Linked DNA regions of Tamandua tetradactyla. The protein of the gene in region 3 interacts with the protein of the main gene of each other region in a pairwise test. Links are inferred from orthologs where the notes say so. Each region holds a gene or a part of one and is shown on either strand. Other genes may lie near its edges. The genes, in order: CRYBA4, CABP5, CEP76 and cilium assembly protein DZIP1L-like.

Region 1 (7,987 bases), on a different chromosome or scaffold from region 3:
CCGCTGTCCCCATCTGAGCTCCGGCTCCCCACCTGTACAAAGAGGAAGCTTCCAGAGCAATGCCCCCGATGCGAGATGCAGAAAAATCAGTCCGGATGGCCAGGCGAATGATGTCGAATCACCCTGTTCTCCTAGCAATCTCCTTCCAATCCTTCTGGAATTATGTTGGCTAATATAGTAACCACTGGTCACATGTAGCTAATTAACTTTAAACAAATAAGTTAAAATGGATTGAAATTTCAGATTGGGTTCAGTGACTCTAAATTAGGCAGTGCAGATATAGGACTTTTCCAACATCGCAGAAAGTTCTGTTGAACAGTGTTCATCTAAAGACTCTTAGTTCAATGGCTGAGAGATTCCAAACAGAGTCAAGAGATTATCCTGGAGGTTATTCTTACGCATTAAGCAGATATCACCTTGTTATTCAAGATGTAGTGGAGAGGCTGGAGGGAACCGCCTGAAAATGTAGTGCTGTGTTCCAGTAGCCATGTTTCTTGATGATGATTGAACAATGATATAGCTTTCACAATGAGACTCTGTGAATGTGAAAACCTTATGTCTGATGCTCCTTTTATCTACCTTGTCAACAGACGAGTAGAACATATGGAATAAAGATAAATAATAGGGGAAACAAATGCTAAAATAAGTTCAGTTTGAAATGCTAGTGATCAATGAAAGGGAGGGGTAAGGGGTATGGTATGTATAATTTTTTTCTTCTGTTTTCATTTTATTTCTTTTTCTGTTGTCTTTTTACTTCTTTTTCTGAATTAATGCAAATGTTCTAAGAAAGGATCATGATGAATATGCAACTATGTGATGATATTGTGAATTACTGGTATATATGTGGAACGGAATGATCATATGTTAAGAATGTTTATGTTTCTTTCTTGTCATTTTTTTAATTTAAAAATTAATAAAAAGAATCTTAGTGTACTGTGAGTGTGCCCTTAACACCTCCCTACATCCACTGCTCTCTCTTTTTATTTATTTGTCTAACAAAAAGAGCTCAGCCTCACTCTCAGAGCCTCAATCAGGCACCAATATTTAGCTAAAATTTAAAAGCATCATTTTTTTACTGTATTTATTCTTCTTTTGGCAATTGATGTTGGCTTTTTTTTTTCTTTGCATGGGCAGGCGCTGGGAAGCTGATGTTGGCTTTTGATTTATGCTAATGGAACATTTCTGCCCTGACACTCTGTTCTGAAGATCTGCATCCAGCGGGCAAGATCCGTGTGCATCAATCCCCCTACACTTGGCCAGTGCACAGCCTGCGCAACCTGACACGGCAGTCCTGCACGCCCTCCAGCATCTCAGACCCAAGGAAGACACAAAGGTATGCAATTAGAGTCTGGGGAGAACATCTACAAATCCCAGCCCTCATCTCTGGGTCCCTTCCTGCCTCCCCTCCCCTCCCTCACCGGGACCCAGACTGGGCGCTCCACCCGCCCGCCGGACTCACGCGCCACTCAGCACTTTCAAGGATCTCACGGTCTCGAAGCCAAGCTCCAGCACGCTGGGACACTCGGACGTGAACTCGTGCCGCCAGCCCTGGAAGCTCTCCTCATCCCACACCACGACCTAGGCCAGAGAGAAAGGGTGGAAACCAGCCTCAGAGCTCGGTGGGGTCGGCCGAGGGGCTGGGGGCACCCCGAGACTCAGAGTGGGGCAGGGCAGCAAGAGGAGGCAGCATAGCCGGGATTGCAAACTCAGATGCGTCCAGGGGCAGGGCCAGGAAGGTAGGTGAGGAACTGTGGGGACCTGGGGAGCAGGGGCCCCACGTAAACGGGGGTATGGGGGTGTGCGTGGGGGAAGGTCTGCTCGGCCGACCCTCTGGTTTCTCACGACGATCACTAACATCCGAATTAGGCGGAACCTCCAAGTTTTTGTAAGGCTGGTGATAAATTCATGTTATTTAAAAAGCACAGAGCAGGTCTAACAAATCATGCCTGAAGACCGCATGCAATCTTGGCTACCAGTGTGAGCTCTCTGCCCGAGTGTGTTGGTTAATGTTTTGGAATTTGAAGTCCCAGGTTCATATTGGGTGTGACTTGGGCAAGTCCCTGTCCCTTTCGGTTGAATTAGAGCAATCGGCCCTCTCCTTCTAAGGGTGACATGAGAACTCAGTGAAGTTGGGGGATGGGAAAGGGGGGGGCGAGGGGGTCTCTGCACTGGGTTTGAACCCTGTCCCTGCCCGCTCCCCCACCGCCCCCAGCTGGTATCTCTTCCTACCTTCCAGTGTCCCGCTGACGTGGTGCACTGCAGGGTCATGTTGGCTCCTTCCTACGAAGGAGAAAGCATCCCAGTCTTCCACCCTGGCTCTGTTTCTCCTTGACATTGACGGCTGCTTTGGGCCGAGTCAGGATCCGCCTGGGGCAAAGTGTGTGGCTTTGTGTCCCTCTCCTTTTCTGTCTGTGAGCAGTGCCGTGTGTCCTTTATCTCCTTCCTAGCACCATCTCAAAACGTACCCATTCTGTGTCCATCCCTTGGGCCCCACCAAACTGCTTTATCCATGCTCCAGGAGAATGTTTCTGTGGCTGCCAGAGGGTGGATGCTTCATGCCTGCACGTGTCATAGTGCTCAGCTAAGAGTGCCTTCCCACGACAGCACCTAATGCTAAAGGGGAACTCTGATGGTGGAAATTCAGGCAATAGGACACTAAATGAAGGTAGGCAGGTACTGTTCTTGACGCCTTGGCTAGGATGAGGATGGCGTCCTGGGTGATGCAGTCATGGGATGTTGGCTCCCCGCCTCCCGGGATGCTAACTGATCCTGCCTCTTCCCCAAGCCTAGGACTTACCGAGATGGGCCCAGAGAACACTCCAGAGTCGGGGCTGGCCAAGGCCAGTCTCTTATAGACTGCGCCGGGACAAGGGGCCCCAGAGAGCAGAGCCCTGACTCAGCAAGCAAACAGCAGAGACAAAAGCAAACCCTGGCCGAAGCCCCCACGGAGAGGTGTCAGCAGCTCTGGCATCGGCTGGGAGGGAACGGTCCAGCTCGCCTCCCCCAGGGATCAGCTGCAAAGAAGGTGAGGGAGGTAGGGCTGCCATAATCGGACCCACAGAACTTCTGTCTGGAGCGGTAGAATGAGCACTAAATGGGGAGTCCGAACCTCATTCTTGTCCTTTCCAGCTGTGTGACCCTGGACAAGTCATGCCCCTCAGTTTCTGCCTATAAAATAGAACAAGACTAAACTCCTTTGTGAAGTCATGTAACATGCCTGGCACAGAGTAAAGATACAACAAATGCCCATTCCTTCCCTCCTCTGGCCCCTTTCCTCTTCCAGCTGGGGCAATCAGGGTAGGCTTCATAGTGGAGGTGGCATGTAAACTGGGTTGGGACGATTGGTACAGAGTGAGATGGAAAGAGGGGCATTCTGAGCAGGGGAAACAGTGGGAGCAAAAGTGCAGGGGTAGGACTCGTGGCACCTGTACAGGAAAGAGCTGGTAGCCCAGTGTGTCTGGAGCTCAGGGGTCGTGAAGGGGCAGAGAGAGAAGAGGCAGGAGAGGTAGGCTGGACCAATGCCTGCAGGCTTCACAAAGCCGTGCTGAGTCCCTCTGGCTTTGTGGGAGAGCAAAGTTGCTGCTGGGTGGGAAAAGGTTTTGCAAACTGTGAACACCTGCCAAACATCCTTGGTCTTAGAATTTGCTTTGTGCATCCTCTCCCCTCAGCTTGCCCCCTGGGCTGGCTGACAAGCGGCCTCTCACAGTGTAAAAGGGGCCAGGTGGCTTGGAGTGAACCCGGACCTGACTTTTACTACCTGGCTGAGCTGGAGGCTGGCTGAGTCCTAGCTCATGGCTATAAAATGGCTACATCAGTTCCCTCCTGGGAGGGTTAAATAAGGTTCTATCAAATGCAAGCCTTCCGAGCAGGTTGCCACAAAAATGAAACCCAGCCTCTGCAACCAGACAGCCAGGCTTCGAAGCCCATTCTTGCTGGCTGGGTAACCTTGAGCTTGTTACTTAACCTCTCTGAGCCTCACTCTCCTTGTGCGTAAAATGGGTGTCAAGATAAACGGGGTTTAACCCAAGGGAGAGGGGTATTGAGGATTAATGTGAGTGACAAAAGATTAGCACTTAGAGCTGCTCCTGGAACTTAAAAAACATTACATATCATCACCACCACCAGCATCATCATTGCTGTCGGGGACTGACTCGTGCCCCCCACAAAGACAGGTTCAAGTCCTAACCCTGGGTCCTGGCAGTGTGAACTCGTTTGTAAATAGGATTTTTGAAGATCCTATTAAGATGAGCCCAGATTGAATCAGGGAGAGCCTTAATCCGGTATGACTAGAACCTTACAAGCAAAGGAAATGTGGAAATGGAAGGAGAAACCAGAAAAGGAGAAAAAGGAGGCAGATGGCCCGGGCACGGAGGCAGAGCCTGAGCCGCCACCACAATGCTACAGGCTTCGGGGAAAGCGTCACCCTTCTGACGCCTTGATTTTGGACTTCTGTCCCCCAAAACCAATACAGCCAATCCCTATGGTGGAAGCCAACGACGCTGGTATCTTGTTACGGCAAACTAAGGTGGTTGTGGATAATAACAATGATGCCTATTAAATAATAATTTTTTTAAATGCTTTTAAAACCTAAATGAGGCTAACCACAGAGACCACCCCCTACTCTCCACGAGGACATAGTGAGGGTTAATGGGGCCAAGTCAGTAAAGAACTCAGAGGGGAGCTAGATGTGGGGGCCCCCCAGCCTGCCCCAGCCCTGCTCTTTGGCAGGCAGCCCCTTGCCAAGGGGGAGAGACGAACCACCCGGAGGTGGCCTGGCCTCTCAGCCCAGGACCAGTGGGTGGTCCCCACCGCAAGGACCTTGGCACCAGCTCCAGTAGCTGCTGCATCCTGCCCCCCACTCCCCACCCCAGGTCTTGGCCCGGGATGAAAGGCTGAGGGGGAGGGAGGGAAGTGAGGGGGCGGCAGGCTGGGTGGGAAGAGGGCAGAGCCGGCCCCCCCCGCCCCGGGTCAAGGAGATGTCCAGCAGAGCCAGGCTTCAGGGGAACCTGAGCAGTCCCCCAAGTGGGGCTGGAAGGGGGCAACCCCCGGGCCCCTCTGGCCCTGACTCTGCTGTGAGGTCACTGTGTGACCTTGTTCAAAGTTGCTTATCCCACCTGGGCCTCAGTTTCTCCATTTGTGAGATCAGGGAGTGGGACGATGGAGATTTTGCATGTGTGTCCTGAGTCGTTCTTGCTCTACCTCCACCTGTGTGTGTCTCTCTCTTTCTCTCTCCGTGTGTCTCTGCCACCCATCACCCCCTCTGCCCCTGTGTCTCTGTCCCTCTCCACCTCTCCCTGTCTCCCCCTGGAGCCCACCATCTGCTATGGCCCCTTGGCATCCATAGAGCATTTAATCACCAAATACTGAGCAAGGGTCTGCTGTGTCCAGGTATGGTGAGCAAGATGTGGCAGAGTTTGGGATTTCCCAGCGGAGGCATCAAGCCGGCCACCAGCTGTGTCCCAGCTGTGTCCCTGGGGTCAGGTAATGAGGAGTCTACATGCAGCTGAGAAAAGGGCCAGAGAGGAATCCAGGCTCAGTGGCAGCTGTTGGAGCTGGACCCGGGCCTTGAAGGCTGCACCCACCCCACCCTACCCCCACCCCTACCCAGAAACAGGCTGGGGCCAAGGTCAGACTGCAGAGAGTTAAACACACAGCCTCTGGAGCCAGCCTGGCCTCCCTGCCCTAGCTCTCCTGTCTGTGACATAGGTCTCATCAAAACGCCAGAGATGTCGGGACGTCCTGGGCTGGAGGGAGGTGGAGTGGTGGAGCTTTTAGCACCATGCTCAGCTCACAGTGCTCAGGAAACTGGGCTGTCACCGCCATACCCACGTCTGCCTCTGCAAAGCCTTGGCCTGGCTCCTCCTCGCCTTCTTTCCTGCACCGCGTTCCTGTAGGGACAATTGCACCCACTTCGCAGCTGCAGACACAGAGCCAGGCTGGGCTAGAGACCTGCCCTGAGCCGCACAGCGCCTAGTGCCAGAGCCAGGCTTCAGTCCCAGGTCTCCTGCCATCCCAGGGGCTCCCCCTTTGCCCTGCCCCAATGTCTGGCGGCCAGCAGGATCCCCGCGGACCCAGGAATGGTGGCAGAGAGCAGGGCTGGGCTGGAAGGTGAACCCTGCCATCAGGGCGTTGGCTGTGCCTGCGGGGCTCACAATGGAAAGTGCTGCTCTCGGCAGGAATGCCGGTGGGGCCGGGCCAGGACCCCACTCACCGCCCCGGGTCTGCTGAGCCAGCTCCCCCTTTGTGCCACACAGACCACAGGGCTTAGTGTCTGCCAGACTATAAAATGGGGGGTCGGCCCCTAGTCACCCACAGGACCCACCCGCCCGGTCGTCTGTCCTGGAGCAGGAAGTAGGAGCAGGTCCCCAGGTAGGGGGGACCCCACTCTGCCACTGACAGCTGAAGGGGAGGGAAAGGGGAGAAGGCCGTTAGAGAGGGAGGGGGACAGATGGCCAAAACAAAAGAACCTGAGATATGGACAACGGAGATAAAGACAGAGAGGTAGGGAGAAGTCAAAATAGAAATAAAGAACAGCTAGAGAAAGACAAGCAGAGAAAGGGAGAGAAGGAATGAGAACATCTCCTGGAAGAAATGAGTCAAACTAGCAACCCAAAGAAGTGTTGATTCATATACTGAGGTGGGGGGAGCAAGGGCCTAGAAACCACAGATGTGGCCCAGATGTCTGGCCTGCACCCCAGAGGCTGGGGGAGAAATCTGCTTGCCCCAACTAGCTCCTTCTTATAGAGAGTGTTCTGGGGCCACCAGGACCAGAGAGTCTTCTTCTAAACTGTCTGGGGGTGGGGGGGTATATGGAGACTTGACATAGTCTCCAAAATTGAAGGGAGCATATTTTTTTTAAAGTCCGGGCACAAGGTCTAAGCTTTCCTCAAATACTCAATGACATTCACGACCCCAGCAATGAAGAACCACTGGAATTGACCAAAATCCTCTCCACCCAAAAGCCCACACAGTTTTCATTTTTAGAATCCCGCTGGGCACTAAATACATTCCCTTGGGCCCTCCTTTATGCCCTGCTCTCAGGCCTTTGGCTGCACCCACACACCCATGCCCAGAGAATTCCAGAGGTAGCAGTTGGAAAAGGAGACGGGAACGTGCATTCATTCGTTCTTTGAACAAATGTTCACTGAGAATCCCTGATGCGCCAGGCACAAATCCAAGTACTGGTAATGGAGGGATGAATAAAAAGAATAAGGAAGTGGCAGAGCATTTTAGCACCCAGTTGCTGGAATTGAAATCAGAGGCCTACCACTTACGAGCTGTGTGGGCTCCTAAGCTTCAGTTTGCTCCCTGGGGAGAATGTCTACACCTAGCCGGTAGAGTTATGGGGCAGATGAATTAATTACCTGGCATATGGTAAATAGCCCCAAATGTGCCTTGTTGCTAGTAATAAACATAACAATCTGGTGAGGCAAAAAGAAGCCCTGCGAGAGAAAATGATAAGTACGATTTTTGGTGTGAAAACCTTCAGCAGGCTAAGGAAGTACCGAGCAGAGTAGAAGGAAGGGCAAGGTTGGTGGAGGGAACAACATAACCAGAGGCCCAGAGGAAAGGTGGTCAGCTGGGGTGGTGAGGGACGATAAAATTCGAGCCTTCTATTTTAGAAGGAGCCTGGTAACACAGGGTGAGGGAGTGTAGAGTGGGGAGGCAGCGCGAGGATGCTATCCCTAAATTAACCCAGGCCAAGGATTTCTTTGCAGTCTCTTGCAAGGAGGAACCATGTCTCAAGCTACGAAGGCCTTGGCAACAGCTGTGATGGACCCAGGGCCTGATGCCAAAGGGAAAGGGGCCCTGCCCGCAGGACCAGCCCCGGCCCCCAGCCCTGCCCTGGCCTCAGCATCCACGCCCAGTGCCAAAGTGGGGGGATTTCCTCCTGGAAGCTACAGGGTAAGGACCTGGGGCCAGGGTAGCTGAGCTCACCCCTGGCTCCTCTACCCTTGTCTCTTCTTTCTCCCTTCTTCCTTTTCTC
Region 2 (8,138 bases), on a different chromosome or scaffold from region 3:
ACATCTCTTTGTGGTAGAAGCAAATACGGTTCCCATCTTACCAATGAGGAAGCAAAGGGACAGAGGTTAATGAACCTGCCAAAGGTCACAGGCTTCGTAAGTGGCAGATCCCCTCCTAAGGAAGAGAGACATTTAACTACTCCCTCAAGGTCACACAGCAAGTCAGGCAAACACTGGAATTTAAATCAGGGCTCCTAACTCCCAGGTCAGAATTCTCTGCTGTACACCCCACTGACTCTTTTCTCCAACCTCTATCCTTTTTTTTTATAAGGGTTAGAATCCTGTTGCATGCAGCCAGTGTTCAATGGCATTCAAGATGCTCAGTGCTGGCACCATCAGTTCTACAACTTCTGAGAATTTTCCATCGCTGCTGCTCCCACCCCGCCTAGATATATCTGAAAGGTGAGGTCTCCATATATGGCATGCCACCTGGGAAATTTCCCCAACCTCTGGCCTGTTTCACCCCTTTTTCTCCCTTTATCTTTCAGCCCTTCAGCCTTTCCCCCAGCTCCTCTTTCTTATTATCTCTTTCACTGCAAACTCCCTCCCTCCCTTTTTTTCAGGACCTTGAAATAAAACAATTAAAAGTATGCCCATTAGAATCAAACAGTTCTGACCCTGACACTTACTAATTGTATAACCTTAAAGCAAGGAACTTCATGACTCACAGCCTCAGTTCCCTCACCTGTAAATGGGAACAAAAGTATCACGACCTTGGAAGTTGTTCTGAGAATTAAATGACCTCAGAATGCAAAGCCCTCTGTACAGGTTGATCTCATCGCGCTGACTTAATAATTGGCAGCTATTGGTATCAGCGTCATCATTACAATGTGTGTCCATAAAAAAGAATGATGATCATCGATAATGACATCGTCCTTAGTCCCTTTTATTTTTTAATTCTCCTTTTTCTCTTCTTTTTTGCCCTGTCTTCTGACTTCACCCTAGTCGACATGTCCCCATTATACCCCCTGGAATTTTTCTACCAGCTCCTTTCATGCTCTCTCTAGCTGTTTCCTTAATTCTGTTGCACCCATCACATTCTTTTCTGTCTCCCCTTGCCCTGCCCCTCTGCCTTGCCCACCATTCCCCACCGTCCCCCACCTCACCCGTTGTTTTTCAGCGATGCCTTTTCTCAAGAAGATGCAGGCGGGGCCCATGGGAAACTGCATGGAGGGGACAGGGCAGGGCTCACCAGGCACCAGTCTCAAGATGGTTCCCTCTCTTTCCTGTTGATACCTCGGCCTCCTGATCTTCTCTATCACTCCTTTTGCCAATCCTTCCTCTGCCTCTGACGGACTCTCCTGCAGTCCCTGCATTTTAGAGCTGTGACAGTTGGGTTGGAAATCTCTACCCAGGTTAGGGAGGGATCAGAGCTCTTCCTGTCTCCCCATCTGGCTTGAGTGAGATGGGAGGGGAAAGACAGCATCAGGCTCTGGCCTTGTATTCCCAGGATGGATTGGAAAAATTTTTAAAAATTGGGACTTGAGGGGAGGCATCATCTTGCTCGACTTTCTTTTTACTGTCTCTATAGTTTTGCTTTTTCCAGAATGTCACAGTTAGGATGATATAGTATGTGGCCTTTTTGAATTGGCTTCTTCCACTTAGCAATATGCATTTAAGGTTCCTTCAGTTCTTTTCATGGCTTGATGACTCATTTCTTCTTATCATTGAATAATATTCCATTGTATGGATGTACCACAGTTTGCTTCCCCATTCACTCATGCAGGACATCTTGGTTGCTTCCCGTTTGGAGCAATTATGAATAAAGCTGTTATAAACACTTGTGTGCACGTTTTTGCTTGTCTATAAATTTTTATCCCATTTGGATAAATACATAGAAACGTGACCTCTGGATCATATGGTAAGACTGTTTAGCTTTGTAAGAAATTGACCAATTGTCTTACAAATGTGGCTGCACCAGAAACCTGTCTTTTGGATTAGGGACCCAAAGGATTTGCTGAAATTTCACCCTTTACAGGGTAGTCCCTGGAAACTGAAGCAGCCACTGCAGGTTACACCCCCTTGTCGGTGAGCTGGCTCCCTTCAAAAACAAGAGGAGAAAGGATTGAGCCGAGTCTGCTCAGTTCCTTCTCCCCAAATCACTCAGAGAAGGTATCCTCCTCTGTCATGGTCAGGTTCATGTGTCAACTTGGCCAAGTGGTGGTACCTGTTTGTCTGGTTGGGCAAGTGCTGGCCTGTTGCGATGAGGACATTTCATAGAATTCAATCATGATCATGTCGGCTACATCCACAGCTGATTCCATTTGTAATCAGCCAAGGGGCGTGCCTTCTGCAATGAGTGATGCTTAATCTAATCACCGGAAGCCTTTTAAGGAGGATTCAGAAGAGACAGTCTCTCCTCCTGCTTCAGCTGGTGAGCCTCTCTTGTGGAGTTCGTCCAGACCTTCCATCGGAATCGTCAGCTTCACAGCCTGCCCTGTGGATTTTGGAATCTGCGTTCCTGTGGTCACGTGAGACTTCTATAAATTTTATACTTGCGAGTGTTCCCTATTGATTCTGTTTCTCTTGAGAACCCTAACTAATACATCCTTCCTCAGAGACTTCCTCTAGCTGGAGTCTCTGGGCAATGAAGACACAAGGCTGCTGCACAAACTCAAGAGCATACTAACCATACTCCCTTAAAATTCCCTTAAGATTTGGGATGCCAATAGTCACCAACACTGAGTGTGATCAGGCTGGAAACTAAAGCACATAGGCCCCTCCTTGAAAAGGGAAAACGTGAAATCTGCAATGTTAAGTCTCCCTTCAAGGAAGAAAGCAGCTTCAGTGACATGGAAACGGGGTGAGGCTGATGCATAGTCGTTGGGTTTATCCGAGTGCAGTGGCAGCAACTATCTAGATTTAGGACATATGAGTGCACTTCGTGCAACTCAGAAACAGTGGCTGGGTCTCTGAAGCAAAGATCAAAAGCCATGACTCAAGCTGCATTTTGCTTTCTGTCCAGTTTTTGTCTCATGGTTCTTTTTTTGTCTGTGTGTGTGTTTTTAACATCTTTGTTCCCTAACATCCAGCATCCTAGGAGACAAAAGGCTCCCAAATATAAATTAAGGACATATCCCTAACATAATTCCTGACAGATGAGATGGCATCTTGCCACACAGGTAACAGAAGACCCAAAATGAACTCCTTACCTACAAAGGGGCTCCCTTTTTCACACACCAAGAAGCCTGGAAGGAGAGTGCGAGTGTGACCACGTCCTTCCCGCTTGTCTGCCCAGTCCTGGATCGACCCTCCTCTAGCTGGTTGCCCGAGGGCTGCTGCAGATCCAGGGGAAGACACACAGGCCCAGTTCTCCCTGTGACACTCAGAAGGAAAGCTTTTCCAGAAGGCCCCCTGCCCCTAAGCCCTACAGACTTCCCTCTGCATTCCACTAGCCGAAGTTCCATCTCATTCCCCTACCCAAGCCATCCAGATGGATTACTTTGGACTCTCCATACCACCCTATGGGCAGGGCTCCACTTCCCTGAAGCACACGAAGGAGGGGAAATCAACACTCAGGGACGACTTAGGAAGAAGAGGAGTGAAGGGATGTTAGGGTTGTGCTGTTTTGAAACTTTTATGAACCCCAGAAAGGCTATGCTCTTTTAATCCTAATCCAATTTGTTAGGGACAGACCTATTGTAGGGTGGGACCTCTTGATTAGATTGTCTCCATGGAGACGCAGCCCACTCAATTGTGGGTGAGACATTTTGACTATTTTCATGGAAATGTGACCCCACCCATTCAAGGTGGGTCTTAGTTTACTTAAAAGAGCTCACAGCTGAACAGCGAGCTAACATAGAAAACCACTGGAATCAGAAGCTGAAAGCAATACAACTTGGGAGCAAAGGACCAGAAGATGCCAGCCACGTGCTTTCCCAGCTGACAGAGAAACCCTGGATGTGATCAACTTTTCTTGAGTGAAGGAATCCTCTTGCTGATGCCTTAATTTGGACATTTTTATGGCCTTAGAACTGTAACCTTGTAACATAATAAATCCCCTTTGTAAAAGTCAATCCATTTCTGTATATTGCATCCCAGAAGCTTTAGCAACCCAAACAGGGGTCAACCATCAGTGGCATCTTAGGTTTCACCTCATATGCCACTGGAGACCGATGGTGAGCCATGATCCAATGAGCACCTGCTATGGGCCAGGCATTGTTCTGGGATGGGATTAAGAGGCAGCAATGAGGAAAACAGGTATGGCCACTGCCTGCTCTCATGGCATTATGTCTGGAAAACTGCTGAGGTTCTGAGGCCATGTTTGAGCTTGGCAGGAAATAAGACAGGCTGCAAGGCCTCGGGGTGGCAGACTCCGGAGTCTCACAAGAGTCACTGAACATACTTTCTCTCAGGAGGATGGTGACTGTACCCAAAAAGTGGGGTGTCTGGAGCATGAGCGCTAAGTCAGAGCCCGGTGCTGGCACTCCCAGCTATGTAACCTGAGGTAGTATTTACCTTCTCTGTGCGTCCCTGTCTTCACCTGGGAAACAGTGTCACCAGGAAGAGTTGCTGGGAGGTGTATAGAGTTGGGACCGCTGCCATCCGATACAATGGCCGCTAGTCACATGTATCTGTTTAAGTTAAAAGTGAAATATTCAGGTCTTCATTGCACTGGTCTCATTTCAGGGGCTCAGGAGTCACTGAGCCAGTGGCTCTCGTATTGCAGAGCAGAGAGAGAACATTCCATCACTGCAGAAGGTTCTATGGAATCCATGCTACACACCACAAAAGTGTGAGCTCTTACAGCTGCCCCCCAGGGCCCAGCACAAACTTTGACACAGTAGATGTTGAATAATTATTTATTGAAAAAATTTTCAAATGAATCCCCAACCTCAGTTTAAACTTACCGCCCCCCCCACCCCCATACACACCTGAATCACAGACACCACAGACTTCCACAGATGGTATGTTCAAAAATAGAGGAGGCACCCCTGGGCTCCCTCCACCCCGACCCCAGGCCCCAGAAGAACGGGGACTTAGTAGAAATCTTCCAGGTCGGAGTCTGTGCTTTGCTGGTTCTGAATCTGACTTTGCCTCTTATACAGCTGAGCCACCTGAGGGGGGAGGGTAGGGGGTCGAGTCAGAAGCTCTCCGCCCACCTGCATGCCACTGCAGACCAGAGTTCACTTCTCCGAGAAACTGACAGGTCAGAAGGCTCCCCTGGGGTGACCTGCCCTCCTCCGAGGGCCTCACCTGGGCACTGGTGGTGGCCTCCTCTGGTGTTTTGTCTTCACGGACACGAATAAACCGAGGGAAGCGTAGGGAGATCCCCTTCTCGCTTTCCACCTGGGGGTTGGGGTGACACACCTGGGGTCTAGCCTGCATCCCCTCGCTGCAGCAACACCCTATGCAAAGTCTCCTCCTCCCTCCTTCACCCCTGGCCTCAATTTCCTCATCCATTCAGCAGGGATAAGTAATGGGCTGTTTCAGGATTAAAGAAGTGAATAAACATAAAGGACTTAGACCAGGACTGCACACAGTAAGCACTTAATAAAGGCCCGCTGCTCTAGCTGTTATTTAAGCCACTAATGCATCATCATGAGGTCTGAGAGGCAGAACAGCACAGGGTCAAGGGTGTGGACCCTGGAGGCAGAATGGGCAGCTGCAAAGCCCAGCTCTCCACTCTAGGGAGCCAGGTGACCCCGGGCAGTCACCTCAGCTCTCCTGGGCTTGTTTCCTCCACTGCGGAAGGGGACGCTTGTGCCACCACACTCAAGGAAAGTGTTCAATGCCAGCGCTCTACAGCGACTCTCTGACACAGGGCATGAGCAAGAAAAGCACATAATCTCCTCTTAAGACAATTAGATAAAAAACATGAGTCTCCTTTTCAAAAATAGAAGCCTGTTTCTAATTAGAAATGCTCATGCAGCTAGATTTTGAAAAGCCAGAAGAAACCTCAGACAGAGTGTATTTTTATCTGAGATTTACTGCTCTTCTGACGGAGAAAGACAAGAGCTTTCCTAGTGCTGTGAAAAGGGTTAGTGTCTTTCCCTGGTGGACAGTAAATGCTTTGGTGAGAGATATTAGTCAAGGCACCAAAACATCAAGGCACTAACAACAACGGGAGGTGAGGAAATGAAGCGACTGAAAAGGAAACTGCAGCAGTCAATGGAAATGGCTCAGCAGGAAGAACACGAAACTCTTAAAAGAACAGTGTTTTAAAAAATGATTAAAGAGCTGAATGTGAGATTATGACGGTTAAGGGAGAATTCCACTGTTTACTTTTTGCTACTGGAAAATTTTTCTTAAAAGAAAGAGGCTGTGGACTCCATTACCTGATACCCAAATAAAATGCAAAGCAATTTCGTTCCCTTCATCACCCCCCTGCAGAGCAGGCTTGTGCTGAGGCCTCCTCCTGTGTCCTGACTGCCCATCTGGGATTCCTTTAGGGTCTACCCTAGACCCTCCTGCTGCCCCCTGTTACTCACCAGGCCCCGGGCCGCAGGGTAGATGGGGGAGAGGGAGAGATCAGCACACTTCACCTCCCACACGGTGCTAGGCTCCAGCCAGTAGTCAGGTGCCACGGCACCATCTGCCCGGACGTAGGAGCGTGGGTTCGGCAGCACCAGGGCCTGCAGGAAGCAGTGGAGAGGGGGAGAAGAGAGGGTGCTGCATCTCAAAGCTGAGGCCAAGGCTGGGGTCAGGGAGTGGACAGAGGGACAAAGACACAGGCATCCCTTACAGTAAAAAGCTGGAGGGAAGTGAGGAAGAATGGAAAAAAGGAAGAAATAAAAGGTTGTCAAAAAGACCCACAGAGAGGGGGACAGAGACCCAAAGAGAGGAGTACCCCAAAGAATGGGGTAGGGCTCCAGTGGGTACCAAGAAACACCAGTGCACAGGACAGAGAGACTCCCAAGCTGCCCCACACCTGACAACAAGTACTTCTGCTTACTCAGGACTTTCTTGACAACACCTTCTCAGGAAGACTCAGGGACACGCCCCCCCCCCCCCCCCCCCCCCCAGCAGCACTCAGGGTAGCTCTGTGATTGCCCCCTGAGCTCGGGGAGATTGGGCTCCTTGTCCAGTGTCGCTGGCTACAAGCCGGTGGAGCTGAGTCCTGACCCAACTGGTTGCACTCCAAAGCCAATTCTGCTGCCCACCGCCCACCTGTTCATACCCCCACCCCACTAAGCTCCAGGACAGATGGAGACCATGAACCCTGCCCACAGAGGAGATGAAGAGAGTTCTGTGGCTCCTGGCAGCCACCCCTGCTCACCTGGAGGCTCTGGTAATACTCCTCCAGCTCCTCGTCACTGAAGCCAGTTCCAAGCTGTGGGGAGGGTACAGAAGGTCAGAGGTGCACCCTAGGACTTCCACCCCGCTCCCGCCACGCTCCTGCCACCTAAGCTTCCACTTATAGTGGCAGTTCCCCCCACCCTCACCCCACTCAGTTTTCCAGATTAGCCAAGTCCTACTACTAGACCAACAGTAGCCACAGAACAGAGAGGAAAGGGCTGAGCATCCAGGCCAGTCCCTCGCAGGACACTGAAACAACCCTCCTGGCCACCCGAATCCTACCAGCAGGGATAGGCTCCTTCTACCCCACCTCCCTAGCTCAGGAAGATACTCCCTTGGTCTCCCCTCTTCCCCCTGCCCAATAACTGACTGCCGTCATCTTCAATCTTAATCCTGCCAAGCGTTTTCCTGTAAAGGGTTGAAGTGGGTCACCCACCAAGACACGTTTGAGCCCTGAGCCTGGTCCTTGGAGGTAAACCATTCATACACAGGGTCTTTGAAGATATGATTAGTTAAGATCAGGCCAAACTGCATCAAGGTGGGCCCTAATCCAATGTGACTGGAGTCCTCAAATGGAGAAGAAATTTGGGCAGAGACAAATGTGAATGTTCCCGAGCCAGGGAGACAGCCACGAAGCAGAGCGCAGACTAAGTCGGGGACTGCCGGCCACCACGACAGCCCCACGGGCCGCGGGGGAAGACAGCCCTGCCCAAACAGCAACTTCAGACTTCCGGTCTCCAGGGCAGCGAAACAGTACGTTCCTGTCGTTCAAGCTAACCAGTTTGTGGTGCTTTGTTACAGCAGCCCAGGCAAACTAAGATATCCACAAAAAGAGTGAAAACTAGTAAATCATACTCGGTGCTGGCAATTATGTAGTAAGATGGAATCTTTAAACTACA
Region 3 (7,803 bases):
GTAAGATAAGGTACCCACCAAAAACTCCCTTGTTTTCCTAGAAAATGAAAATAATAAAATCTTAAAAGCCTCCATAAAAGATGATGCAACTGATCACTCCTAACACTAAGTAATTAAACTGTCTTCAAACAATGCCATCCCAGATATTACAGTGTCATGGTATGCTAAGCCCCAACCAACAGCATTCCTGAAAAACCCTAAAGAAAACCCAGGGCTCTATATAAGACTCTATAAAAGTTTTACCTATAAGTTTATTTTTCAGAAACTTAAAGCCTCCAGATTGTTCCTATGCCAGATAAGCCCTGAAACTCAGAGGTACCTATTTCTCCCAGAACATCAACCAGTTGCAACCCTATACCCCATAATGTCAACACCCCCTTTAAACATGAAGTTAGAATGGTCACTGACCAAATATCCCTGAAAACAGAGAGAATGATCAAATGAGAGGGAGAGGAGTTGTAACAGAAAAGTTAGAACTTAACAAATGATTATGAGCACTGAATCATTATACAGATATTTCTGTTTAGTTTCTAGTGCATTAATACAGCCAGAAGAAAATACCTAAAACTGTAAAACTGTAACCCACACTACTTTGAAATTTGCTCTATAACTACTTGTTAAACTGTTCTTTGAAATTTATCACTTTCCTGTATAAAGTGATTTTTTATTATTCCACAATAAAAAATGTTTTTTAAAAATGCTATCCACAGAAGTGCTAAAAAGTTAAACTTTCTCTAAACCACATATAACATCTGGCTTATGTTCCATCCTGAACTGATTTTAATAAGGAAGTGGCAGTCACACAGCAAAAGTTGTTATTAGGTCAATTTTTATAACAAACAGGTTTATAAACCTCAAAAACCAAAAAAGGGCACTGCATTAAAATACTTATTCCCTAGTGTATTACCAAGCCCATTTTAATTTTTTGTTATATTACCCAGGTATTGAGGTCACAGTTTCTCATTATTGCCTCATTTTCAAAAGAAGGCCTACTTACTAATCGTGCACTGAGAGGCTAACATGCCACTACTGACCTATTTGTATGAAAAGATTTGAAAGACCTTAATCAGTTATTTACTTACAGAGATTGATAATTTGTTAATCATAGAAAACATAGTTTCCCCCCAAAGCTTTTTAAAAAAATAAGTGTCAATCAAAAAAATTACAGAACAAGTTTAGTGAAAAAGGACTTCGATGGTGAACTAATTTGACTGAAACATGCATATTTAAAGTTACTGACCCTAGTGAATAATGAGGAAATTCTGACACCATGGAAAAAGGAATATGACATATAACTCCAATTTCACTAATGTTTAATAATATATGCTTTGCTCAAGGATAGTGTCAATTTATACTTAAAACAAGGATGTTATTTGCAAAACAGCTTTATTTTAAAGTGGTCTTACTAACAGCAGAGGTCCCAAATATGGACCCTATAAACAGTGGTAAGCATGAGAATACACTTACACTCTCAATTATTTACCCCAAAAGATTACTCACAGTAACAAAAGTAAGTTCTTTCATCACATCATCAATGATTCCTCGACGTCTAAGGGCTTTGATTAAATCCTCTGTTGATAACTGCTGTTGATCAGGTGCTAATTCTTCACGTATAGTCTCAGCAAGGATTTCTCTTATTCTGCCATGGACATCCATCTATGTAGAAAACTTGCATTACATTTCTTTTACTCCTAATGAGCACAGATTATCAAAGCAACCAAATGTTGCTAATGTTGATTTCTTTCTAAAATGCTAACTTACAGTAATAAAGAAAAAAAAAGGGAGGAGGAGATCAAAAGGCCACATCTGGGGAGCCTGAGCTTTAGGTGTTTCAAGCTAAGGATAAATGTAAAATTGTAACTACAATTCAATGACAATAAAAGTAAAAATTTTAAAAGGAAGAAACAAAGTAATTTTTTAAAAGATGAAACTTCCAGTATAAATTCTAGAAAAAGAGTCTATTGACTACCTGTTGTCTTTGTTACCACTTCTCCACAAACAATGCTCAACACGACGTATATTTTGAGAAAGAGTAGAGAATAATCAAAGAACAGAAGCCTGGACAGGGCAAATCAAAGTCAAAATTATAGCTTTCAGTTTATTAGACGTGTAACCCTGAGTCGATTTATTTTCCCTTTCTGAATCTGTTTCCTCATATACAAAATGGGAAAAAATGCTACCCTCTTATAAGATGGTTATGAAGTTTAAATAAAAGGTGCTAAACACTGAGTGTAAAATCTGGTACACAAATTAGTGCAAAACAAATGGTAGCTTATATTAAAATTATCTCCATGTCCAATTTTTCTTCCTTCAACTTATAATGCATTCAGTTGGGCACTCAAAGACTCAGTGTCATTCTTGAGCTCGCAGTATCCCGAATACTCTCCTTACAAACATTTTAGTCACTTCTCTTCCACGATTTCTCCGCGAAGTGGCGCTTTAAGCTACTGACTCAACTTCAACGGCATCCCCACTACCACCCTGAGAGTAATCCCAACGTCTGATCCGTGAATTTAAAAACACCTGCTCCAAACACATCCTCAACTATCTGGCTATCGGAAATCACTCGATAAGAGCTTCATTTTCACAGCCGTCCTGCAATACCAAAATCGCCTCAAACCCTCTGTAGGCTCTCGTCGGAGGGGTCCATCCCCTGCCCACCTGGGAGCCCCAGCCCCGCTCCGGCTTGTCCCCACGCCGGCCCCGAAGGCCGGCCAACGCTAACCCTGCCCGAACCCTCGCTCGGCCCTACCGGGCCGCAGCTCCCACCCCGGCCGACCCTGCCTCGCCCCGACCCGCCCCGACCCCCGCTCACGCCCGGGCCCCAACCCTTGCTCCCGTCCCCTCCGAGCCCCGACCCGGCCTGCCCTCGCCCGCGGCGTCCTCACCTTGCTCAGCTGCTGGTGGATGAGCTGCTTCAGCTCGGTGGCCTTCTCCGGGGGCAGCGACATGCTGACGGAGCCCGGGCCGCCCACCCCGCGGCCGCCAGCGGCAGGACGCGCCGAGCAGCACCGCGCTGCGCCCAACCGCCTTCAGACCCGGGCAGCGCCGGCAGAGCTGCCCGCGCCGCGCCTGACGGGACCCGCGCCGCCCAGCGCGCAGGCGCCGCCCCGGAAGGCCCCGAGCCCGGCGCCGGGGGAGACGAAGGACCCCGCCTCGCTTCCACCCGCCTGCCGGCCGGGCCCCTGGGGCGCGTCGCGTGGAGACGGCGCGCGCGTGGGTCCTTCTCTGCTCGCTCGCGCTTCCTCTCGCCGCGGCCATGTTCGTCCCCTGCGGGGAGCCGGCCCCCGACCTGGCGGGCTTCACTCTGCTGATGGTGAGTGCGCGGCCCCGCCTCGCCGGCACGGGCGGTGCGGGTTTCGGCCTCAGCCGCGGCGGAGGCGGCGGGCCCGTTGCAGTGCCGACTCCTGCTTCCGAGGGAGTCTTGGTGGTAAAACGTGCTATGTTCGGAGATCACGCAGACCCTGCACTTGGTTCGTGCGGCGCATTTTCCTTAAATTTTATCCTAGGAAATCTTCCAGCTGCTTCTAGGGTCCGCCTTGAGCCATTCACCAGAGAACGAAAGAGAGGAGTAGTCCTCTGTCGGGAAACGCCATAAATGCACGCTTGGGCCATGTTTGTACTAGCCTACAGTTTAGTGAATGGCGGTAGGTTTACAAACAATGAGAGTGAAAAAAGAATAATGGAAGTGGTAATAGTAATGAAAGTGACGTTTTTGCTCGTAGTTGACACGGTTTTATTGCTTTTGCAATTGGCTACATTCATTCGTCCTTTCAGTCAACATTCTGCCAGGTGTGAACGTTAGAATAGGACTCGGTCCCCGGCCTCGAGGAGTTTACAGTCCAGTGGAGGCCTGTTACGAAGAACTTCATAGAAAAGTAATGTCTAAAAGGCGAGGAAAGTGGGGCTTTTTTGGGGGGTGGGGTAGAAAGTAGAGCATTCCAGAAGGATGGACTTTTTAAACCAGAGGCACAAAAGCATGGGGTTCTGGGGCACGGCCCAGAGTGAGGAATGGCACTTTGAGACAGAGTAGGCTGCAGGCCTGTAAACCCAGGAGGCACCTTTGGAGAATGCAGTTTGGAGTGGTGCAAAGCTGGAGAGAGACACAACAGTCATTCTTTTATATATTAATTATCAAGCACAGAAATCCAAAGAGAAGAGTGTTTCAGGAGAGAGGGAGGGACATCTGTCAAAAATAGTCCAGACATTGTGTAAGTTGAAACAAGTGTCCTTTTGGGTTTAGCAGCGAGATTACTCATGGTAACCCTGGCAGACAGTTAGTGGAGTGGTAGAGAGGGAAGCTGTATCAGGTTGGGTTGAATATATGAAAGAAGAGGACATGGATACTTGTGTATATATGTATTTCATTGATTCTGAGATAAAGTTCTGCTTAGATTTTAGTGGCCAGTATCAGGGAATTTTGGCAATCTAGGGAGTCTGAGAATTGAGGTGGTAGTTAGAGAGGTGGGGTCAAGGGAGGGTTTTTTAGAATAAACAGTATTAGAGCATGCTTATATGCCGATGGGAAGGATCTGATAGTGGGGAAAAGAGAGATGATACAGAGAAATACAAAGAGACTACAAGCAGAGTAGCTAATTGAGAAGGGAAAAGGGTAAACAAGAAATTAGTACATGATGGCATAAGATGTGGGAGACCACTTTGAGGGAACCAGCAAAATATATGAAGTCCAGAGAAAAGCAATAACTGGATGAATGCAAAGGAGAAGCTGTAATAAAAAGTTAAATCAATAAAAATTAGTCAGATATTAGATGTAGTTGGTAATGGAAAGGGAGGAAGTTTCCTGGTTTAGGTAATTGAGTAAATAATGTTGCTATTTTGTGAACTTTAAAATGGGGGACAAGTTTTGGCAAAAGTTAGTTTTTTACTTGTTGACTGTGAGCTGCTTGTGACATAAACACATAGAGCTATCCATTAGGCTCTGGGTTTCAGGCAGGTGTCCTGATGGGAGGTTGGAATTTGGCATTTGGGTTGTTTGAAGTCAATTGGGGTAAGTCTGTGTATGTGTGAATATACACACGAAACATGCACACGTATGCATATATGTTTAATGTGAAATTCACTCCAGCTATAGGAGTGTGCAGAAAAAGGCACTAACAAAGCAAACTGAAAGAAGACTCACACACGCTTTTGTTCATACCTTACAGCTTTTACACTTTCTTTTCCATTGCCTGCATCATTCTTTTCCCAGGTTATTACATGACTCTCCTTTTCCTTCTTTAGGTCTTAGGTACTTGTCACCTGAAGTGAGTCTTTCCTCTGTCACTGTTTTTAAAATTGCAGCCATACACACACACACACACACACACACACTCATATATGATATCCTTTTTCTTGGCTTTAACCACTGTATATTTTATTATATATTTTACCAGTTTATTGTTTATTATAAGTAAACCACTTTCACTAGAATGAAAACTCCACCACAAGAGCAGGGATTTTTGTCTGATTTGTTTTACTGCTTCCCCAGTGCTTAGAGCAATAATTGACACATAGTAGGTCATCAACAAGTATTTGTTAAATGAGTGGCCTCAAACGTGGAGATGGCCCAGATGACATTTCTGTTACCCTTAAAGAAAGTGTATCAAGCGAGGCACCTGAGCATAACTATTCAGTACTAACTAGTGCTGTGATTGCCTTCTAATTTTTTTTAAATGTAACTAATTCCTACGACTTATTAATCATCGTTTATGGTTTCAGCCAGCAGTATCTGTTGGAAATGTTGGTCAGCTTGCAATAGACCTGATTATTTCCACACTGAATATGTCTAAGATTGGTTACTTCTATACTGATTGTCTTGTGCCGATGGTTGGGAACAACCCATATGCAACTGAGGAAGAAAATTCAACAGAACTCAGTACAAATACTGAAGGTAAGGCCTCAGAATGGTTTGTTGTACTACCTGGTAGAGTTGTTTTAAATTAGGATAGATTCTGTGAATACTGTTTCAAAGCAAACATTTACTTAGTGCCAGCTTTGTGCAGATTGTACAACCTAGTTGCACTGTCCTATTCTCTTACATCCTGGTTTTATTTCTTGTTCTTTTCTAAATGGCAACTCCTACAAGAGATGTAATTGTTCTTTGTATCTTTGTTTAGAATTTTAAGATTTCCTCTTTTTATTACCCTTCCATCCCAACGTGGATTTTTTTTTTCCCTTTTATCCTCAGTTTTATTTTTTGTTTTTACTGGCATGTATAATTATCACCACTGATACCTGGGAAAAGGAGAAAAGAAAAGGGTGCAGTCCTCCATGCTTAGCATGTGCTCCCTCTTCTAAGCCTCAGTCTTCTTGCTGCTTAACTATAGAATCCATAATACTATGATATAGATGATAAGACCCTGAGAGTCTGAGTTCTCTAATGCCTGGTGTAGACTTTTGACTTAGCATAAATTTCCGTAATTCTTCATTGGACAAATCAGACTTTTTTAATTAGGGAACATAATTTACATTGCACTGACTGCTGTTTGGTTATAATGTGGGAGAGAACCAAGAGAACAGAGGAAAGACACCTGTTGTTCTTGAAGACAGGAATATCCACTTTGTTGATGGCTCTGTTAGCCTCTCTATCTTCTGTTTAACATTTTAAGGTCAAAGCCAAAGGTGATGGGGCCCATGAGAGATGCCTGGTGGATTGAAGTACAAATGAAGAAATATTTTTATTTTTTTGTCAGTTTTATTAACCCTGTCATTTATTCTTAGCTTACAATGATGAAATGAACTTTTGAGAAATAATCTTAATTGAAATTCCTGCAGGAGAGATGGTTTTGTTAACATAAAACCCATGGTTTTGTTGACATAAGATTGATGATTTTGTTAACATGAAAGGCTGAATTTTAGTTATTGCCTTAGAAGGTATATGGCTAACACTCTACTACATTTCATTCTTCTGTTAATCCCAGTGAGTGTGACTGTCCTCCAAAGAGAAGACGGGGGAATATCAGTAAAGACTTAGCTGTTCTCAAAACCCAAAAAGTTTAGCATTCTTAAAGATGATTTTATTGGTCTTAATACCAGTATTTTCCAGATGAATGCTTATCTGGGTAAACTGGTGGTACTAGAAGTCCTATACTTTGCACTAATGACAACAATCATTTATTGAGCATTTACTATGAGCTGGACACAACTTCACTTTACATGTGTTAATTCCCTTAATCCTCATGCCAACTCCAAAAGATAGTCTTATAGATGAGGAAACCATGGTTCAGAGAAGTTGAGTAATTTGTTCAGTCACATAATTAATAATTGGTGGAGCTGGGATTTTAATCAAGGCAGTCTGGCTCCAGAGACCTGCCTCTTAAGCACCACATCATTCTGCTAGCGCACCTTTGCTCTACTTAAAGGTCCACTTACTCTCCTCTGACACAGACTGGCCCATTGTCTTACAGGCTCTCCCACCTTCTGCATTTACCTGATTACTTCCTTCTGGTGTCATTTGGCTTGTGGGTCTAGCCCCTGTATTTTCTAAAACTGAAAGTTTGATCTTGAGGATTGATTAGGTTTAAGTTAAATATTTTTTATTAGAACACATAAAAGTAATGTTGCTTTCATACTGTATCACATCAGAAGAAAGTATCAAGGTCTTAGCAACAAAAATAGTTGCATGATATAGAATTGAAGGGTATGGGTATTGCTCTTATAAAAAATGGTATATCTGCATTTTAAAACTTAGTTTGGGGTGGGCCACAGTGGCTCAGCGGGCAAAGTTCTTGCCTGACATTCCGGAGCCCCAGGTTTGATTCCTGGTGCCTGCCCATGTCAAAAAAAAGCTTAGCCTGGCCACCC
Region 4 (7,595 bases), on a different chromosome or scaffold from region 3:
GAGGACTTTACATTAAGAAATAATCAGGGGTATACACACAGATTTACACACAAGAATGCTCAACATCATGTGATTTAAAGTAGACAAATAAAGTAGACATATATTTAACAGGAGGAAACTATGAAATAAATTATGATAGCCACATGAGGGAACACCATACAGCCATTAAAAATCCTATTTGCAAAAATGATTCAGTGACGATGGAAAATGTGATACATCCTTAAATGAAAATAAGCAATAGTCAAAATTGCATACTAAATGTTTATACAGATATAAAGAAAAAACTGACAGAGAATACACCAAAATATTAACCACTGGTAATATCATGCATGATTTTTTATTTTCTCTTTTCTATACTTCTGTATTTAAATTTCCTATATCAAAGACATATGTTTATCAGAAAAAAATTATTTAACAAATGGGAAATGTTTTTCCTTAGCAGCCTCGAATGAAGCTCCAAAAAGTATTAGATACATAATAAATGCATCATAATTAAATAAATGCTACTATTTGAAAATATTAAACCTGTTCTTTGAAAGGGGAGTTAAAAGATGGGGAATAAGAAAAATGGGGATTTTTATATTTAGCTATTTTAACAGATATTTCTTGTTGAACCTCAAAAAAAAGGTCCACAGATCTTTTTCGCATACCTCTTTTGGCAAAAAGCATGCCAAAACTTGAAATGGTAATATTAAAATGATGAAGTCATGATAATATACTCGAGTAAATAGAAAAATCAAAAAGCTGGTCAGTGGCTCATTTACGCTCCTTGCCAGTAGTCTCAGACAACGCCAGGTGCGCAGGGGGCTGGGAGGAAAGGGACCTCTGAGCAGGGGTCCGGCTGCCCCTATTCTCAGCAGAGGCCCCTGAGACCCCAAGGGGGAAGCCACGGCCAAGGTCCCACAATAGACAGGGACAAAACCGAGACGACACCACCTCGCCATCCACCTTCCCTGCCCGCGGCCAGACACGCTCCCCAGCCCCACACGCGCACATCACGTCCTCAACAGGCCGAGGAGGCTCAGACCCCGGGCTGCAGGTGCCTCCACCCACGGGAGACCAGCTCCGGGCCCGCCCCCGCCCCAGGGTGCCACCAGCGCTCACCGCCGTCGGCCGAGCCCGCGTGCCTACGCTGGATGTGGCCCCGCAGGAAGGTGGCGTTCATGAACGTCTTGTCACACAGGTGGCACTGCACAGAGAGGAAACAGGGGGGGCCACAGGATTAGCCTGGCCCAGTCGGCCCGGAGTCCTCCCCACCCCTCAGGCCCCCTGAGCCACTTGGGAAATGGAGCTGACCGACTGAGCCCAGCGAGTCCCCCATCCGAGCTGCACACCAGACTCACCTGGAGCTTTAAAACTACCCATGCCCTGGGGAACCAAGACCACCGGCTGGATATTTGATGATGGTGACAAAGTTTTGTGGATGAGGTTAGAGTTTTGTTGGCTTTTGGTGCGGTTGATGGTATTATGCTTAAAAGTGGAAGTTCTTGCTTTTTCAGAGATACATACTGAAATATCTATAGATGAAATCATATGACAAATATGCCTCAAAATAATCCAGGGGTGGGAGAGAGTGGATAGAGGAACAAACAAAATATCAGCCAAGAGTTGGTGAGTGGCTGGGTGGTGTGCAGATAAAGGTTCATTGTGACTTTCTCTCTATCACTGTGTTTAAAATTTTCCATAGTAGAAAGTTTTAAAATATGCCCAAGCCCCATCCCAGGGTGAAAAAACACCAGAGGCAGAGACAGCAAATAAATAACATCTGTAATTCCACTTCCGTTTCCTAAATGCATGTCAGTCACTGCATATTATCTTTCCATTGTAAAACTTCAGAGGAAAACTTTGCAGGTTGCCACAGCCAATCAATCAGAGTAAGAGGGCAGAGTAAAGTGAAGTCTATTTGCTATCTTTGCACAAAGGCAATGGAACAGACTCTGCCAGTTGGCGTCCCCAAATGCATTTTCCCCTTCCTTTGTAACAGAAACCTTGATTTTTAGCAAGTCATGATGTCACTGAAAATAAAGACTTTACGTCCCAGTCTCTCTTGCAACCATGTAAGCCATGTAACTAAATTACACAGAGGAAGAAGAGCCAAGAGCTGCAGAGCAAGAAACTCGATTCTGCAGCCATATCTGATTCCTGGGGCAAGCCACACCTGACACCCACCAAACCTTTTCAGTTAAAATCAACCAATAAATTTCCTATGGGCCTAAACCAGGTTAGAGTGCTGAAAGGGTTCTAACCCTTTGTAAGGTAATTAACTCTATCTTACAGCAGTTATATCAATTATCATTCTATCAATTAACATTCTATCATAATGATTCCTTCTGTCCCACCTACCCCCAAACTATACATTTCTTGAAGGCCCAAACCAGCTGAGGGCTGCACTCTGAACAAGGAGAAGCCTCACAGAGGCCTCGGGGCTGGTGCGGCAGGGGAGGTGGGGGGGAGCGTAAGTGGGGGGTGACCGCCTGGCTGGGACACGCCGCCCGCCCCTGCGGGGTCCCGCGGAGGCTCCGCACCGGGTGGCAGCCGTGGGCGCCGGTCTGCAGGAGCAGCTGCTGCAGGGCGCTGATCATCTTGCGGCGCCGGCGGCTCTCCTCGCGCACACCCTTGAGCTCATCGGCCCGGCGGCCCAGCTCCTGCTGGCCACGCTCCTGCTGGCCCAGACTGGCCTGCAGCCGCGCCTCCAGCTGGGCCACGCCGGCGCTCAGGCAGTCCTGGCAGTGCAGCAGGTACTCGATGGTCAGCTGCGCCAGGCGCAGCACCTTGAGCAGCGCGGGGTCCACGGGCTGCCCGCAGCGGCTGCATGCCTCCCGGTCCAGGCTGCAGAAGGTGACGCCGGCGATGTTCTCCTGCAGGGTGGCCACGTCCAGCTCCCGCGCCACGCGCTCCACGTCCAGGGCACTAATGCGCCGCCAGTCCACACTCTCGCGGCGCGGCTGGAACTTGAAGGCGGGCGGGGTGTAGGCCCCGAAGGGGGGCCCGCCGAGGCCCTGGGCAGCGACGGCGGCGGGCTGCATGGGCGGGGTAAGACGGCTGTCCCCGAGGCCACGGCAGCAGGAACGCGAGCGGCGGCAAGGCCTGGGGAAGAGAAGTGAGTCCCAGTGAGGCCAGGACGGGTGGCTGCAGGGGCTGCCGGCGCTGCACTCCTGCCCAGCCAGCGCCCCGGTGGGGCGAGCCAGGTGTCTGCAAGCAGCTGTAGAGTGTCTGCACGTGCCAGTGTGGCCGAATCTGCGGAGAAGAACGGGGCGGGACTGCGTGAATAAAGTATGAAGTACTGTGTGCCACTATGGAAAAGAATAAGGCAGCATTACACACAGTGACATGGAATTATCTCTGAAATACGTTGCATGAAAAAGAGAAGATATAGAACAAGGTGTGTGTATGTGTATATATATATTTTTTCCTATTTTTAATGATCTATTTATATGATCACATTTAACAATAACTCACAAAATAAAGAATGCATACATATATAAACATGCACATTCGAATGGTTTTATACAAGGGAGAAGAGAAATGGGAGTGTGAAATGGGAATAAATAAATTAGCAGATGGATGATGTGGGGGTGGGAGATGGGTGGATGGATAGACAGATGCACAGACAAAAAAGACAGACGGACATGATAGGCCTTTCACAGGCCAACGACACAATGCTATAACGAACAGGACTAACTCAGCCCTCTGTACAGCACATCTGTATTCCACATCATAAAAGAAATACATGACAGGTGCTCTGTATTTTCTGCATACTTTTCTGGGGTAAACGTATAGCTACTCCAAAAAGAAAAATGTTTTTAAAATAAAAACAATATCTAATCCTTAACTAAAAGAAATACATGTACGCATATGTTATTTATATTTATCATTCATATATAATATGTAATCAAACTTGTATAAAATATATTTATTTATTATTCATTATATTATTTTTATTTTATTTTATTTCCAGACTATTTCTGGAAAGAGACCACAAGCTGTTCACTATAATTACTGCTGGAAAATAGAAATAGAGGTCAGAAGACCTTTACTTTGCACTTTCCACTTCTCAGTACTATTAAAGTCACTTCTCATCATCATCTGTTACTTTCATCTTTTTTAAAAGAAAAAAATATATACAATTTCTGCCACTGAAGAACTTAGAATCTGACTGGGGCAACAAGAGGTACACAACACCCTGTCTAATCAAGTTCTTTCTAGATTATGTGATTCAGACTTTTCTGTACAATGGAAAGTTAGAGAAGAGAAAGATCATTGACCTCATGAAAGAGAAAAAGGACTCAGGGAACCATCAGGTTTGCAAAGAGAGGCAGGCCCTCAGCAGCACGCCTGGCCCCAGCCGTCTTGCTGTCTACACCTGTGAAAGGTGGCGTTCAGCCTGCCCTGCCCGCCCCCAGGCCCCTGGGAGGGTGGCAGAAGTGAGGGGGAAATCCCTCACTAATAATACCGGCCAATATGCAGGGGTGCCAGCCTCTGTGCTGGGCCCTAATGCCAAATACAAACCTACAGGCAGGTATTATCATGCCAGTTTACAAACCAGGATACTGAGGTCCGGAGCACTTAAGTGGCTTGCCCCAGGTAAGAAAGGCACAACTGAAGTACAATTGCAGGTACATCTGGCTCCAAAGCTGGATTTGAATCACCCAACATTAATTTTGAGGGCTATTTATCCTAAATTTTTGCTTTGGTCAGATGATCACATTTCATCCCTCAAATCTCCAATGCATCCTTTTACTCACTGCCCTCCCATTTGCTGCATGGCCATGTGTGCTGGGCCCAGTGGTGGGTGCTGGGGCTCCCCAAGTGTATTACGCACACCCCATCCCCCACCGCAGAGCTCAGCGTGTTTGGTTGGCACAGTACCAAATCCAAACCCCTTAGCCTGGTCTTAAAGCCCACCCATAGGACCCCACCCACCCAGCTTTTCAGCTTCAGCTCCCATCCTTCCCCTCCCTGATACTCGCCCCCAACATGTACCCCAAAACACAAATACGCAGCCACAAAAATATGCAGCCACAAGCACCCCACCACGGCCACAAAAGGAAGACCGGCACGCTCCAATGTAACGGGCCAGGTGGAGGGAAACAGGGGGCAGGTGACAGGATACTCACCATGCCCGGCTCCAAGCTGCAACCGCGTCACCCAAGCCTCGGCGACAATTGCTCACAACACACCGTGCCCAGAGCAACAGCGAGTCATCAGGGAGGCGGTGGACAAGGGTAACAGGACACCCACCTCCTGTCCTCCCACAGGCTCCGAGCTGGCCCGAGGACCGCCACTGCTTAACTCTTTAAGCTCTGGCCTCAGATGTTTGCCAACAGCCCTCTCCCAGTTATAAGGCAAAGCACTCTCCAGCCACTCTCTCTCAGCTCTCCCATCCTTTGACTGCTCCTTCCAGCCAGTTCCCTCGGTTACCATCCCTTCCCAATTCTTTAAGGCAGCATAGGCTAGTGTCCCCCAATATTCTGCTGTTCACCCATGTCCCCCACCCCAGAGCTCAGCATGGCTTGTTGCCACAGTATCAAATCCAAACCCCTTAGCCTGGTCTTAAAGCCCTCTGCCTGGGGGTGAGCCCACACATACCCACAGCCTCGGCTAACCGCAGCCTGCCCAAGGCTGAGCCTCAGCCTCCCAAGCGCACGCTCCCTGCCCCATCAGTCCTGACCATCTCTCTCTTAGGGCTACGGATCCAATACTAATTATACCAGAAACTGCAAACCCAAATGCCACAGGGGCCAGAAAAGTAACATTAAGTGAGTGAAACAGGCTTGTCACAGAATGAGCTTGATGAGAAATAGCAACTGCTTCCTCCGCTCCTGTCCAAGGTCAAGTAAAGCCGTGGTTCTCAAAGTGTGGGCCCAAGACCAGCAGCATCAGTGTCGCCTGGGAACTTGTTAGAAATGCAGGTTCTCACCTCAGACTTACTGATTCTGAAACACTGCAGTAGGGAGTGTTGGCATAGGAAGTGTTGGGGACTGTGACAAACTGGAGGGCATATGTCCTTAAAAGGGGCAGCCACAATATGACAAAGGGCATATATGAAAAAACCCAAAGCTAGCATTGTACTCAGTGGTGAGAGACTGAAAGCTTTCCTTCCCTCTAAGATTGGGAACAAGACAAGGATGCCCTCTGTCACCACTATTCTTCAACATTGTGCTAGAGGGAGGAGCGTGGGTGCTGCCTGCCTGGCCAGAGGCGCCCGGGCTTTCTCTCTCCTCCTTCCTCCACATGGCCAGCGACAAGGGTTCCTTCGGCTCACCACTGCATCCACCACAGATTGGCTCCCTGCCTCCTCAACTTCCTTCAGGGACACATAAAGGAACTATCCCGGGTGGCAGTCAACCAAATCCTCCTGCATCATTATCATCACCTGCCTTCCTCACCAGATTCCTACAGCCAGCCTCCCCACTCCCCTGGCCATGACGGTTCCAGCCTATAACCCCACGTCGCCCCATTACAGCAGGAAGTAGCCAGAAAGATCTCGGCGCCCTATTATCACAAAAAGGCTGGAATGTTAGGTCGGGGGAACGGGGAAGGGCACTGCAGCTGGAGCTGCGGAGGCTGTGTCACCCCTCCCAACCTGACTTCCGGAACTAATGAACTGCCCCTTCCAGATGTCACCAGACCTCCATCCTTAAAAGCTGCCCGCGCTGAAGCCCACATGCACACTCACCTCCCTCCATCTTGGGTTTGCTAAGTGAATGCCCATTGATGCTTACAGAAGAAACTGCTGGCATCGGAAGCTGGAAGCAATGAAACCGGGAACCAGAACCAGGAGGAAGACATGAGGGCAAGGACACAAATGGACATTTGCACACCAGTGTTTATAGCAGCATGATTTACAACTGTGAAGAGATGGAAACAGCCAAAATGTCCATCAACAAAAGAGTGGCTAAACAAACTGTGGTATATGCATATGATGGAATATTATGCAGCTGTAAGACAAACTAAAGTTATGAAGTATGTAATAACATGGATGGACCTTAAGGACATTATGCTGAGTGAGATTAGCCAGAAACAAAAGGACAAACACTGTATGGTCTCACTGATGTGAACTGACATTAGTGAACAAACCTGGAGAATTTCATTGGTAACAGAAACCATTAGGAGATAGAAATAGGGTAAGATACTGGATAATTGGAGCTGAAAGGATACAGATTGTGCAACAGGACTAATTATAAAAACTCAGAAATGGATAGTACAATACTACCTAACTGTAATACAATTATGTTAAAACACTGAATGAAGCTCAGTGTTTTAACTGAAGGGCTGGGGCCACAAATGAAATCAGAAAGAAAAATAGACAATGAAGACTGAGATGGTATAATCTAGGAATGCCTAGAGTGTATAATGATAGCGACTAAATGTACAAATTAAAAAAATGCTTTTGCATGAGGAAGAACAAAAAAAAAGAAAAAAACATTGTGCTAGAGGCTCTAGCTAGAACAATCAAGCAGGAAAATGAAATAAAAGACATTCAGATCAGAAGGGTAGAAGTAAAACTTTCATTATTTGCAGATGATAAAATACTATACTTGGAAAATCTTGAGAAATCTATGACAAAGCTTCTTGAGCTAATAAATTCAGTA

The links.
Region 1: the proteins of CEP76 (region 3) and CRYBA4 interact in binary tests that used the Homo sapiens proteins (3 or more experiments, as listed by UniProt). The two-hybrid records come from large-scale screens. The link is inferred for Tamandua tetradactyla from reciprocal best matches to the Homo sapiens genes CEP76 and CRYBA4.
Region 2: the proteins of CEP76 (region 3) and CABP5 interact in binary tests that used the Homo sapiens proteins (3 or more experiments, as listed by UniProt). The link is inferred for Tamandua tetradactyla from reciprocal best matches to the Homo sapiens genes CEP76 and CABP5.
Region 4: the proteins of CEP76 (region 3) and cilium assembly protein DZIP1L-like interact in binary tests that used the Homo sapiens proteins (3 or more experiments, as listed by UniProt). The link is inferred for Tamandua tetradactyla from reciprocal best matches to the Homo sapiens genes CEP76 and DZIP1L.

What each region holds. Positions count from the first base shown.
Region 1 is NC_135331.1:36,171,775-36,179,761, reverse strand, and holds the start of CRYBA4 (beta-crystallin A4), read right to left. Parts: upstream 3,153-7,987; 5' UTR 2,798-3,152; intron 2,281-2,797; 5' UTR 2,269-2,280; coding exon 2,230-2,268; intron 1,579-2,229; coding exon 1,460-1,578; intron 1-1,459. Other genes in the region: CRYBB1 (beta-crystallin B1), read left to right, coding at 7,738-7,905. UniProt on the Homo sapiens protein: Crystallins are the dominant structural components of the vertebrate eye lens.
Region 2 is NC_135342.1:13,060,346-13,068,483, reverse strand, and holds the start of CABP5 (calcium-binding protein 5), read right to left. Parts: upstream 3,032-8,138; 5' UTR 1,317-3,031; coding exon 1,107-1,316; intron 1-1,106. Other genes in the region: LIG1 (DNA ligase 1), read right to left, coding at 4,980-5,057, 5,197-5,289, 6,432-6,575, 7,220-7,273. UniProt on the Homo sapiens protein: Inhibits calcium-dependent inactivation of L-type calcium channel and shifts voltage dependence of activation to more depolarized membrane potentials. Involved in the transmission of light signals.
Region 3 is NC_135344.1:76,585,823-76,593,625, forward strand, and holds the start of CEP76 (centrosomal protein of 76 kDa), read right to left. Parts: upstream 3,016-7,803; 5' UTR 2,952-3,015; coding exon 2,889-2,951; intron 2,651-2,888; exon of another isoform or gene 2,524-2,650; intron 2,202-2,523; exon of another isoform or gene 1,970-2,201; intron 1,657-1,969; coding exon 1,501-1,656; intron 1-1,500. Other genes in the region: PSMG2 (proteasome assembly chaperone 2), read left to right, coding at 3,260-3,316, 5,719-5,890. UniProt on the Homo sapiens protein: Centrosomal protein involved in regulation of centriole duplication. Required to limit centriole duplication to once per cell cycle by preventing centriole reduplication.
Region 4 is NC_135341.1:82,033,275-82,040,869, forward strand, and holds the start of cilium assembly protein DZIP1L-like, read right to left. Parts: upstream 3,035-7,595; 5' UTR 3,027-3,034; coding exon 2,526-3,026; intron 1,190-2,525; coding exon 1,105-1,189; intron 1-1,104. UniProt on the Homo sapiens protein: Involved in primary cilium formation. Probably acts as a transition zone protein required for localization of PKD1/PC1 and PKD2/PC2 to the ciliary membrane.